Callithrix jacchus: one gene and its partner. The protein of the gene in region 1 purifies or fractionates together with the protein of each later gene. This does not show direct contact. Links are inferred from orthologs where the notes say so. Each region holds a gene or a part of one and is shown in the gene's direction. Other genes may lie near its edges.

Evidence for each region.
Region 2: the proteins of ARPC1A (region 1) and ARPC5 fractionate together in Homo sapiens (co-fractionation; 8 studies listed by BioGRID and IntAct, counting the BioPlex papers as one, with this or other methods). This does not show direct contact. The link is inferred for Callithrix jacchus from reciprocal best matches to the Homo sapiens genes ARPC1A and ARPC5.

The regions. Positions count from the first base shown.
Region 1 is NC_133503.1:14,252,148-14,258,168, reverse strand, and holds the start of ARPC1A (actin-related protein 2/3 complex subunit 1A), read left to right. Parts: upstream 1-2,043; 5' UTR 2,044-2,146; intron 2,147-6,021. UniProt on the Homo sapiens protein: Probably functions as a component of the Arp2/3 complex which is involved in regulation of actin polymerization and together with an activating nucleation-promoting factor (NPF) mediates the formation of branched actin networks.
Region 2 is NC_133519.1:41,805,551-41,811,762, reverse strand, and holds the start of ARPC5 (actin-related protein 2/3 complex subunit 5), read left to right. Parts: upstream 1-2,668; 5' UTR 2,669-2,763; coding exon 2,764-2,907; intron 2,908-5,214; coding exon 5,215-5,286; intron 5,287-6,212. UniProt on the Homo sapiens protein: Component of the Arp2/3 complex, a multiprotein complex that mediates actin polymerization upon stimulation by nucleation-promoting factor (NPF).

The DNA.
Region 1 (6,021 bases):
GATGGGGAGCAGCTGTAAATACACATGACACTTCGTGGGCTCACCCTACTCACCTCATGTGCCATCGGATTCCTAATAGGCAACAGACCAGTACTGGTCAGCAGCCAGGAGGTTGGGGACACCTGCAGTAACTCGAAAGAACACAGCAGGTCTGGACAGGAGAGGTGGCTCATGCCTGTAATCCTAGCAGTCTGGAAGGCTGAGGTGGGCGGATCACCTGAGATCAGGAGTTCAAGACCAGCCTGGCCAACGTGGTGAAACCCCGTCTCTACTAAAACTACAGAAATTAGGTTGGCCTAGTGGCACGCGGCTGTAGTCCTAGCTACTTGGGAGGCTGAGGCAAGAGAATCACTTGAACTCAGGAGGCAGAGGTTACAGTGAGCCGAGACTGTGCCACTGCACTCCAGCCTGGGCAACAGAGCAACACTCTGTCTCAAAAAAAAAAAAAAAGAATAACATATCAGGTCTGAAACTGAGAGTTTGACAAGTATACCTACGTAAACCTCAACCTGCAACCAAGCACTGGGATAAAATATGTAAATACCAAAGGGAAGGAGACAAATCCTTGGTTGGCCTGGCACAGGGGCAGGGCTCACACCCAGTGCTTTGGGAAGCAGAAGCTGAAGGACTACCTGAGCCCAGGGGTTCAAGAACAGCCTGTACAATATAGGAAAACCCCATCTCTACAAAAAAATATATAAAAATTAGCCAGGCACAGTGGCTCACACCTATAATCCCAGGGCCTTGGGAAGCTAAAGAGGGAGGATCGCTTCAGCCCAGGAGTTCAAGACCAGCCTGGGCAACACTGCAAGACCCTGACTCTACCAAAAAATAAAAATTAGCTGGCCAGGCACAGTGGCTCACGCCTGTAATCCCAGCACTTTGGGAGGCCGAGGCGGGCGGATCATCTGAGGTTGGGAGTTCGAGACCAAGCCTGACCAACATGGAGAAACCCTGTCTCTACTAAACACAAAATAATGACCGGGCATGGTGGTGCATGTCTGTAATCCCAGCTACTCGGGAGGCTGAGGCAGGAGAGTCGCTTGAAACCAGGAGGCAGAGATTGCAATGAGCCAAGATTGTGCAACTGCACACCAGCCTGGGCAACATGAAACAACGTCTCTAAATAAATAAATAAAAATAAAAATTAGCCAGACGTGGTGGTGTACACCTGTAGTCCCAGCTACTTTGGAGGCTGGGGCGGGAGGACCGCTTGTGCCCTGAAGTTCCTGGCTGCACTGAGCTATGATCGAGCCACCGCACTCCAGCCTGGGCTACAGATCGAGACCCTGTCTTAATGAAAAAAAGAAAGAAAGAAAAAGAATAACAAAAAGGAAAGCTCTCGATTAGTCCCATCCGTGGGGGCTGAAGCTGCTCCAGAATTTCTACGGGTTCAAGGGCAGCAGCCTAGTTGCAGATGGGGGAACCACGGCAAACCTCAGAAGCTGTCCTCTGTGAACTGGGGGCATAGCCTAGCTCCCCCAACCTTTTTCCCTGCGGCGCCATCTTGGGAGAAAGGAACAAGTGACTCTGCCCCGCGAAGATTCGAGAAGGTTCCTGGGGGACTTCAGGGGCTTTCCACAGTGGAAGCACGGCGGGGGCGGGGGCTCCCTGCACGAAGCAGCGCTGAGGTCGACTGGTTCTGACCTGGGCTCTCTGAAGAGAGAAAAACTCAATCGTTGGTCAGGTCCAGGAGCTCCAAAGACCCCCCAATCCTCAGTCACTTATTTCCTGACAAAAGAACTTGCGAAACTGCCGAGGCGCCACACTTTGGCTCGCGATTGTGAGGAAACTGATTGAGGAACGGAATGGGACGCCCATGCCGCTTCGCCAGCACTTGACAGGCGTTCCGTGGGGCCACATTCCCTCTGAAAGGCCACCGCCTGTGCCGCAGCAGCAGCAAATCCGACCGCGTACCCTTCCTCACCACAGTCTACCTAAACCCGGACTGCGCGCCTGTGCTATGCGCATGCGCAGACCGCCCGCACGGCCTCACCGCGCAGGCGCCGTGGCTATTTCCGGGATCTGTCAGCCGCTCCCTCTGGGCTTCCGTCCTCCGCCCGCGCCCGCCGGAGCCTGTTCGCGTCGACTGCCCAGAGTCCGCGAATCCTCCGCTCCGAGCCTGTCTGGACTCCCCGGACCCCAGGTAACGGCCAGCAGGGGCAAGCGTCTCACCCTGTCGGCCTCTCTTGTCCCGGTCTCGCGCCGGACTTGGACCCGCGGGGGCGGTGAGGTGGGGGCTTAGGCCGCGGGGCCCCGAGGCTGAGGCGCGGCCGGGTCTGCTGGGGCCTCCTGAGGGGGCGGGGATCCCCTTTCTCCGCGGGTTCCCTGGAGTTTCTCTCTTGATGTTCAAGCTCCTAGCCGTCTCCAATGCCAGAATTAACGACCTATTCTGCGCCCCAGGGTCCTGATTGCACCTCTGCTGGGGACATTTGTCACCGTCTCTAAAATTGTGTCAAGCAGGAGAATCCCCTAATCGAGCGTCCCGCGGGACCATTCATCTCTTTAGCGTCTGGAGTCGATCCCTGCATACAGCAGGCGCCCATAGGATGTTTGCCTCCTCTCTAGGCAGCCCTCAATCTTTCAGTTACTGGGGAACCTTTCCGATCTCGAGAAAAACCTTCTTCTGAGTTCTTTCAGATCCCCCTGCATGAGTACCGCCTTCCCCCAAGTCAAAATCGCACCCTTCTCGGCTCTCCTGTTCGTAAAATCTTTTATGCCAGTCTTGGCACCACCACTTTGTTGGGTGATCCTGGGAAGACTGCTTCTCTGTGCCTGTTTTCCTCATGCAATAAAAAAGATTCTTACTGTTTTGCTAAGGATCAAATGAGCTTATTTGCATAAATTGCTTAGAATAGTTCCTGGCCTAGAGTAGGTGATCAATAAATATTCACTATCATTACTGCTTCTGGGCGTTCTGTGCATATCTGTCTCCCTTTCCTTTTCTACCTTCTCCACTCTTAGCAACCACCAACCCTCCAGACTTGAAGACCAGAATGGTGTCAGCCTTATTTATGTTTCTGTCCCCATCCCAGTATTTACAACACTGCTGGGAACATGGTAGGCACTTAATAAATTATAGCTTAGAATCTTTGATTATAAAGCCATCTGTTCTACTGCAGCTTTGGAACCTTCTGTCTGTGTCAACTCATAGCTTAAATTGCCGAGATTATCTTAATTCTGCCCTCTCTTCTCAATTTTATCTAGTCTTTCGGTTTTACATAGGCCCTGAGTTTTCAGGTAAAAACAAAGGAGGGGTATCAGTCAGGAAGCTGTTTTTGCCCCGTTAGGAAGTGGGTAACTGTGTGGCTGTTTTCTTCCTTTTTTTTCCTGCCCTGCAGCCTCGACCTCCTGGGCTTAAGAGATCCTCCCACCTCAGCCCCCTGAGTAGCTAGGACAACAGGCATGTGCCACCACAGTGGGTGAATTTTCATTCATTCATTTATTTTTCTGGAGACAGAGTCTCACTCTGTCACCCAGACTGGATAGAGTGCAGTGGCATGGTTCAAGCAATTTTCCCGCCACAGCCTCCTGAGTAGCTGGGATTACAGGGTGAGCCACCACGCCTGGCTAATTTTTTTTTTTTTTTTTTTTTTTTGTATTTTTTGTAAAGACAAAGTCTCGATATGTGGCCCAAGCTGGTCTGAAGCTCCTGAGCTCAAGCTCTCCCCCCACCTCAACCTACCAAAGTGCTGGGATTACGGGTGTGAGCCACGACACCCAGCTTATATGGCTATTTTCTCCCATATTCGGAGTATGTATTAGAAGATCTTGTGGAGTTCATCTACTAATCACACTTAAAGGAAGGGATCATTTTGGAAAACTCTTGTTTTGGAGGTGGAGTTGCCATACTTTAATCTAATTGTTTCCCAGTGCTGAAACAAATCCTTCATGAAGAAGTTTAAAATGGTCTCTTGGTGAGGTTGGTGCCTGGACTGGAGCCTGTCTGAACATTGAGGAGGGTGTGGTGACCTTGTTGGATTACTTGATATTGCTGGGTTGGGTAATGAGAGTGGTTAGAAACTAGGTGAATCACGGTCTTAAAAACTGACCCAAAACCAGGGACAGAAATTCCCACTTGTGTGAATACTTTCAAGCTCCAAAGGAGTAGGGCCAAGAATTTATAGCAAATGTCAACAATTATAAGCTCAGAGGAAACTAACTGCTGGGTTCTATGGTTGGTTTAAAAGCCTTGGGTCAAAGGAAGAAAGGGAACCTACTGACATGTATTTCAGAATAGGCTCTGTACTACTTGCTTTCACACGTTGTCTCATTTAATTCTCCTTGTGATGTCAGTGGTATATCCACTTTACAGAGGGGAAAAAAAATGAGATTGAGAAATATTAAGTGACTTGCCCAGGGTCTCATAGCTAGTGTGTGTCAAAGCCAGGATTCAAAGCCAGCCTTGGCTTCAGAGCCCATGGCTAGCCATACATCAGAATAACTCTATACACAGTGATAAAGAAAAGGGATGGGGGGCAGGCACGGTGGCTCATGCCTGTAATCTTAACACTTTGGGAGGCTGAAGTGGGCAGATCGCTTGAGCCCAGGAGTTTGAGACCAGCCTGGGCAACATAGAGAGATCCTTGTCTCTACAAAAAAATTAAAAGTAGCAGGGCATAGTGATGCATGCCTGTGGTCCCAGCTACTCAGGGGGCTGAGGCGAGAGGGTGGCTCACATTTTTATTTGTCCCCTTTTCTTCCTCTCTAGCTCTACTAAGACAAAGCTTTTCAGATTTCATTTAAACATTAACCATAGTTTAGAAGTTATAATTATCACCCTATGACAGAAGGTACCCTTTCTTAGTATATAATTCAGGCTATTAGGAATTTCTTCTGCATTCACTGGGTTTCATGAATGCAAGCTGTGTTTGCTAGGTGCATTCTAAATTTGACAAACATGAGTGTTGTCCTGGCCTACAGACTTAAAATAGCCATATGATTAAAAAAGAAGTACAGGTCTTGAGTATATGTCCAAACATGGAACTTGAATGATATGGCAAAATTAGAAATGCACACCGTTGTGTAAATGGTCACCTCTTTTGAAGTCTTTGGTACTTTGCTAATAAAACTGAGTTGAAAAATGAGAAAGCCTTTTGTCTACAGCTGTGCTTTTCAACTGGACATGAAACACGTACTTTTATGGCACAAAGATATTCACATCAAATTACTGATTTGCAGAGCAGTTTTATTTTCAGTTAACAAAGAAGCTTATCAAATGTGGCTTTTGAACTAAACCACTTTTAATTAAGGAGCTATTTTATGACACAATGTGTTATTTTGAGTAGCTGTAACTAAAATCTGTTGTGATGGAACAATTTGGAGTGAGCATCTGATATCAGAGATAAAGAGAGAAGCCTGCAGTGAGCATCTGGAAGTCTTAAAAAAAAATTAAACATTCTCATTTGAATTCATCTAAAATTTTTAAAATTGCCAATTCCTAAGCTCTTTCTTTGTCAGTCGTAGTTTGCTTTCTTGACTGTATAACAGAAAAAAGTAATGACTTAAGTATCTTCACTCTTAGAATGGAATGTGAAATGCTGACATTTCTCTGCCAGTTCAAGATATCAGATGTTATTTATTTAAAGTTGCACTTACTTTAGTTCGCCCTTTTTTTTTTGTTTTGATACAGAGTCGCACTCTGTTCCCCAGGCTGCAGTGCAGTGGCACCATCTTGGCTCACTGCAACCTCCACCTCCCATGTTCAGGTGATTCTCATGCCTCAGCTTCCGGAGTAGCTGGAATTATGGGTGCCTGCTACCATGTCTGGCTAATTTTTGTATTTTTAGTAGAGACAGGGTTTCACCATATTGGACAGGCTGGTCTCAAACTCTTTACGTCAGGTGATTCATCTGCTTTGGCCTCCCAAAGTGCTGGAATTAAAGGATTGAGCCATCGCTCCCAGCCTGGGTTTCTTTACAGTTAGCAAAGGTGCTGCTTCTGCTTTCTAACTGAGATTAATTTCTGCTTTGTCAGCTGAACTCTCATTGTTCACTTTACAACCTTCTAGTGGCCCTTCCA
Region 2 (6,212 bases), on another chromosome or scaffold:
AAAAAATACTCAATCTCTGAATGTTAGTCCAAAATTAACTTGTCAGGTCATTAAATCATTGGCTAGAAACGTGTTGAGTACCTATTATGTACTTGGCACTTAGAACATTGTGAGACAATAAAAAATACTGCATTAGAAAATGACATTTTTCACATCTTATACGTAATATTTGGCTGGCAATTAATTACATTTAACACATTCAGCATATAGTGCAAAATTCTGAACAATCGATTCCCTTGAGCAATCGATTGTTCAAATTCCTTTTGCTATTCCCTTAAGTTTATTTCTATTCTGGGATTCTTTTGTAGTTCTCAAATAAGAAAACAAAGAATTCTAAATCAGACAATACAAAAGAATAGAAATGTAAGAGATGTATTAGCTATTGAATCCTTGTTTCCACTTGCTCTCAATAGTGCCTCTAATGTTCGATTTTCTCTTCAAAGAAAAATCTAGATTTAAAAAGAAGAAAAAGTACAATCACCTTTACATCTAGTTAGCTAAGACTGAAACTGAAAAAAATTGTAAAATAAATCTTTATTCTATGTTATATAATGCCATTCACCATATAATGATTTTATACTTTGGTATATGGCTTTTTAAAATAAATATTACCAACAGGTAAAATTTTTTCCTTTCCTGTCTTAAGACAGTCCTAAGAGAATTTTTACCAATGTGTCTGTTCATAACTTGAATGTTAATTTAAAGCAATGTTACTTCTATCACCTAAATGTTATACTTACAAAAGAGTGATTTAACTGGGAACAGAAAAATGACACATTGCTTCTTCCCAAGAAAAAGGGATGCATTCCATTCTTGAGGTCTCTCTCCCACTCTCTCTCTATTTATATATAATATACTGCATAGATAAATATACACACACGTACGTATGTATTTTTTCAAACTTAGAGAAGACTGAACATATGTATTTATATGTATATATCCAACAAATGTTTAATTTTAAAATCTCTCTTCCTCTTCTGATTTATTATTCTCGGTATGGTTCTCAAACTGTACAGTCTTTCACATTTCATTCATTCATCAAGCATGTATTGAGTCCCTTCTGCATGCTTAGCTTTATGTCAGATAGAAGGAAAATACAAAAGAAAAACTGTCTCTGCCCTTCAGAATCTTTCTAGAAGATAAAGCACCACATATCATTGAGCAATTTATAAGACTACTGCCAAAACCAATGGTACAAGTAACATGCCTTTGACATTTATGTAGAATTTTAGAGCTTGGAAACCCTTCCATGATATTTAATCCTAAGAACGATCTTGTGAAGTACACATTATTAGCTCCATTTCAGTGATGAGGAATCTGAGACAGAATTTTAAGTGACATGCCTCATTCAAATATTATGAGTGGAAGAGTCAAGACTTCAGCCTGAGTTTTCTGATTCTAAGCCCAGTGTTCGACACAGCACAGGAAACCAAAGATTGAGGTACACAACAGGGCAACAGCCAGTCTTCTGCTCAAGGTCCAACTAAACTGGACCCACACCTGAGCAGTGTCCAGCCAATGTCCAAATTAATTTTATCCTGCAAATATTTGTTCTTCAGTGTAATACACACAGCACAACTACCATTTCCTTCGTCTTAGTAGTACCTTTATCTCCTACATTCCAGAAATGGGGATGTCAAATAATTTTTTAAAAATCTGGCCTAGATGGAATCATATCAATCTTAAATCATAATATAAATCTCAAAGGTCTGTTTTCCACTAATCCTACACATTTTTCCCCAGCACTAGAGAGCCTAACTTACCCTCACCCTCTTCGAGCATTCTTGCTCCAAACAACCACCTATTTTAAGATGCCAATGACCCTTTCCCAAATTCTACAAATTCACCCCAGTTTTGTAGAACCCGACCCCAGCGCCTGCCAGGACACCTTCCCCTCCCTCTGAATGGATATGATACCGAGTTCAGGTTCTGCAGATCCCGTCGCGATGCTGTCACACAGCACTGACAGATAAGATTTGACCTTTCGACTCCGTCCTTGGGGACCTCCCGCTGGACAAGTAGGGTAGTTCCAACCCCAGGAAACGGGCTTCCTGCTCAGGAACGCAGCCCCTGGCAGCGCACAGTCCGAGGCAACGTCTTCGGCAATTAGAACGATGCTGGGCGCCCGGGTGTGCATCACTCCGCCTCATACTCCTGCCAACTGCAGGGGACTCGGTCCGGCAGCCAGTCCATCCCACCCACAGCCAAGTCCCAGCCAGCCGGACCTTACGCAGGACCCCGATGACAGGTCGTTGATGGCTGCAGCAAAAGCCAAGGCCACCCGCCGCTGCTGCCCATCGCCGCCAACCTCAGACCCCTCAGACTGGACCGGAGAAAAGCGTTTCTATGGGAACCCCTGGGAATCACGTGACGCACTCGGACGACCAATCGCCTCTTACCTCTGCCCGCCGTCCGTCTTTCTGCCCTCCCTCTCGCCCCCGCCTCCTTCGCCCCGCCCCGCCCCTTTCCTGCGGAGAGCCCGGGCCTGCGCGCTGTGTCCTGAGCCCGGGCCTGCGCGCTCCCTCCCTCGCGCGCGCTCCCCGTGGAAGAGCGGGGGCGGCGTGGGAGGCGCCAGGAGAGCGTGAACCTGAGGAGGAAGAAGCGAGGCCGGCGCGCAGGCCCAGAACCGTCCGAGTCACGGCTGCCGGCGACGCCCCAGAACGGAAGAGGGAAGTGAATCAGGCGTCGGGCAGTGGGCTGCTGGGCTGGGCTTGCTGAGGTAGAGGCAGCAACAAGAGGCTTTTGCCGCTGGTCGGGATTGGGATGTCGAAGAACACAGTGTCGTCGGCCCGGTTCCGGAAGGTGGACGTGGATGAATATGACGAGAACAAGTTCGTGGACGAAGAAGATGGGGGCGACGGCCAGGCCGGGCCCGACGAGGGCGAGGTGGACTCCTGCCTGCGGCAATATCCTTGCATTTGCCGCCCTCCCCACCCCAGCCCAGCCAGCTCTTCTTCGGGGACCCGGGCGCCTGCAGGATCCGCGGGGCACCGGCGCGGAACTGCACTCTCAACCCGCGACGAAACCTATCTCTTTGGGGTCTCCCGCTCTGCGAGGGCATGGGGAGCTTCCGTTTCCTCCCCAGTAGCCGGGAGACGCGAGGGTCCCACTCTTGGAAGCCTGCCCTCCCCCGCGCGCCTTCCACGCCCCCCGATTCCTCAGGTTGCGCCCGAGTGCCTGCCTCGGCTACGGGTCCCGCCGGCCGCGCCCTCGCGGAGCAGGGGAAGGCGGCCCGGGCTGGTGGGCAAGGCTGGTGCCGAGCGCTTAAGTTTTTCTTCCTAGAACTCTATTTTCTGGGGTCACATTCTCTCCAGAAATCTCCGATGGTGGGGACCCGACGTCTTTCCATAGTGGCTTTGTTTTTTGTTGTGTTTTTCTTATTGGTAGCATTAAGGTAGTTTATTCCTTACTGAGGGGGAGCGGGGAGATGGAAAGGTTCGAAAATTGAGGCCTCCTGTGCTTTCAGCCCATTGGCTTTAAAAAAAAAGGGGGGGGGGATTTGGCAAAGTATACATTGCACAGAATTTGTTAATCGGGGGAGGAGAATGAATACAAAAAATACAAAACTTGGAGCCTTTTACCTGCTAAGAAAAGGATAATGAAAAAAAGACGGGGAACGCATGTGGAGAATCCTTGGAAATATTTAAAATAAACCCCAATGAATAAGAAGATGAGTCATTTGTATAAAGCAGAATCATTTTTGTAATCCTAAAATTGATTCCATGTTAGTTAAAATATGGCTGTCAGTTCCTGGTTTCTGGTTTTTGCATATTTGAATATTCATCAATTTTGATTCGCGTATGCATCGGATCTTTTTTAGAGCGATGTAAATGCTGCAAAAATCCGAGGCTGTCGTTTTAGAGAATCTCGGTTACTGGGTTTGCATGCACTTCTCTTGAGTGTATTCATAAGGAAGACTCTCCTCAACAATGTCCTGTTAAATTATATTGGGGAGATGTGTGAGTGAAAATGTTTAATGGCAACTGTATTCTTTTATAAAGGCACCTAAATACAGCATTAAACATTTATCAATGTATAGGTATTGCTTTGATTGCCACAACTTTCACAGTTAGCTGTTGCTCTTTTGCATTATTTAAATACTTCAGTGCTTGGGGGTCATAAAGAAATGAGCCAGTCTACGTAAGGCATGCTTCTCTAGAAATCCCTGCAGCTTATCAACCAGAGATTTTGTGTGTGTGAGACCTTTTTCTTCAGAAGATAAAGGGTGAACATTCTTTGTAAAAACATTATTTGAGATGGATGATGTTTTATGAAACCCCAATGTATTTTAGGTAATTTGTGGTGACTCTTAAATGTTACTGCTGTATCCCTATCAGTGGATCTGCTTTTTCATCAGTTCATCTTAAAATATAAAGATACTGTCTCTTCTTACTCTTACATACAGCCAGGAAAGACAGCCCTAGTGGTGGGGTGCTGGAGATGGAGGAACGAGTGAACTCTGTGGTTTTCCTTTTAGGGGAATGGCTGAACATTCTGACAGTCTGATTGGCCTTCCGTTTCTCATGCTTGCTAACTCACTAGTGCTTTCAAAAAGAGTCTGAATTTAATAGGTATGGTCTAACACAGTTTGAATAACCTTTGTAAAATATGAGAGAAAGTATCTAAAGCAAAAACTTAGGCTGCCACCTAAGGGTCATATGAATTATTACATCTTCTATGATGCCTCTTTTCATCAATATTGAGAGATTGCTAATGTCTATCATTCAGATGGCTAATCTGCCAGCATTTTCTACCAGCATTTTAGTTAATATAGAATATAGTTCTAGTAAAAGTTTGGTCTTTACTTTTTCAACTAGAATCACATGAAAAAACATATTTTAGTTGATAATCGGTTATTTCATTTGGGGGACTAATAATTCTGATACATATCTTAGGGTTTCTTCTTAGGGTTTCTCCAGGTAATGTTTGCATATGTGTCTAACTGGGAAATGAAAGATTATCAAGGTATTCATTTGATAGTTAGAACCAGGGGCGAGCCAGTCTTTGCTTTATTAAAAAGAAATTCTAATGTTCTGTTTTGCTTTTGATATTTTGCCCTTGATTAACATCCTAGAAACCAACACATTGAATATCTGGTATTGAACATGGTAACCAAAGTAATTTTCTTTTTATATATAAAGTCTTAAGAACCGGTGGTTATAATGCTTTCCTGGGGGCCATCCTTTTGTTGCTATACCCTTAACCTCCACCACAGGAAACATGACAGCTGCCCTACAGGCAGCGCTGAAGAACCCCCCTATCAACACCAAGAGTCAGGCGGTGAAGGTGAGTGGCAGACACAACACAGTGACCTCTGAGATATCTTATTCTTAGCAAACTCTTCTGCAGTTGCAAAAAACAACAACAGTATTTTTTACCTTTTTCTATCTTTGACATAGAATAGCTTCTAATGTAGTTTGATAGGCAAGAATTTCACATGAAAAAGTAGCCCTGTAATGTAGAGTTACAATAATGCTGCGTGGTAAGACACAGTAAGTTCAAATGATAGTGAAATCATCTGTGTGTGTTTTTAGAGAAGACCACTCATGCTGAATTTAGACAAAGGCTTGAAAAATAACAAACCTTTACAAAAGTAAACAGATTGTAATTGCTTTTTAAAGATTTTTTTAAAAACATACAAATACTAAATGTTTATTGTAGAAGGCTCAGACATATGGAAAGGTTAAAAAGATAGTAGCCATAGTCCCACCACCCAGAGATGTTACTACTTTTGGGCCTTCCTATATTGTTACAGAGTTCCCTTTTGTTTTTTAAGAATGAAATTTTATAACCTGCTTTTTCAGCAGTATGCAATGTACATGAGCTTTCCTTTGCATTAAGTTTATTTCTATAGCATTTTTAACAGCTGTATATGGATAAGCTGCAGTGTATACATAATTAATGTTTTGTTATATATTTAGACTGTTTTTTTCTTGTTGTAAACCACTGAAATGAATATTTTTTGGTAAATTTTTGATTACTCGCTTTCAATAAATGCATAGCCATGAATTATTGAATCAAAGAATGCACTTTTTTTAAGGCTTTTGATATATGTGGTATTGCCAAATTGCCCTTCAGAACAGTTGTGCAACTTACATTCTCTGCAGTCTTTTACTAATTCTTAAGAACCTATTTTTACGTATTTATTTAAAATGATGTCCATAGCATCAACCGCATTGTCCATAGCTATCATGCATCCTAGGAGCTTCAAG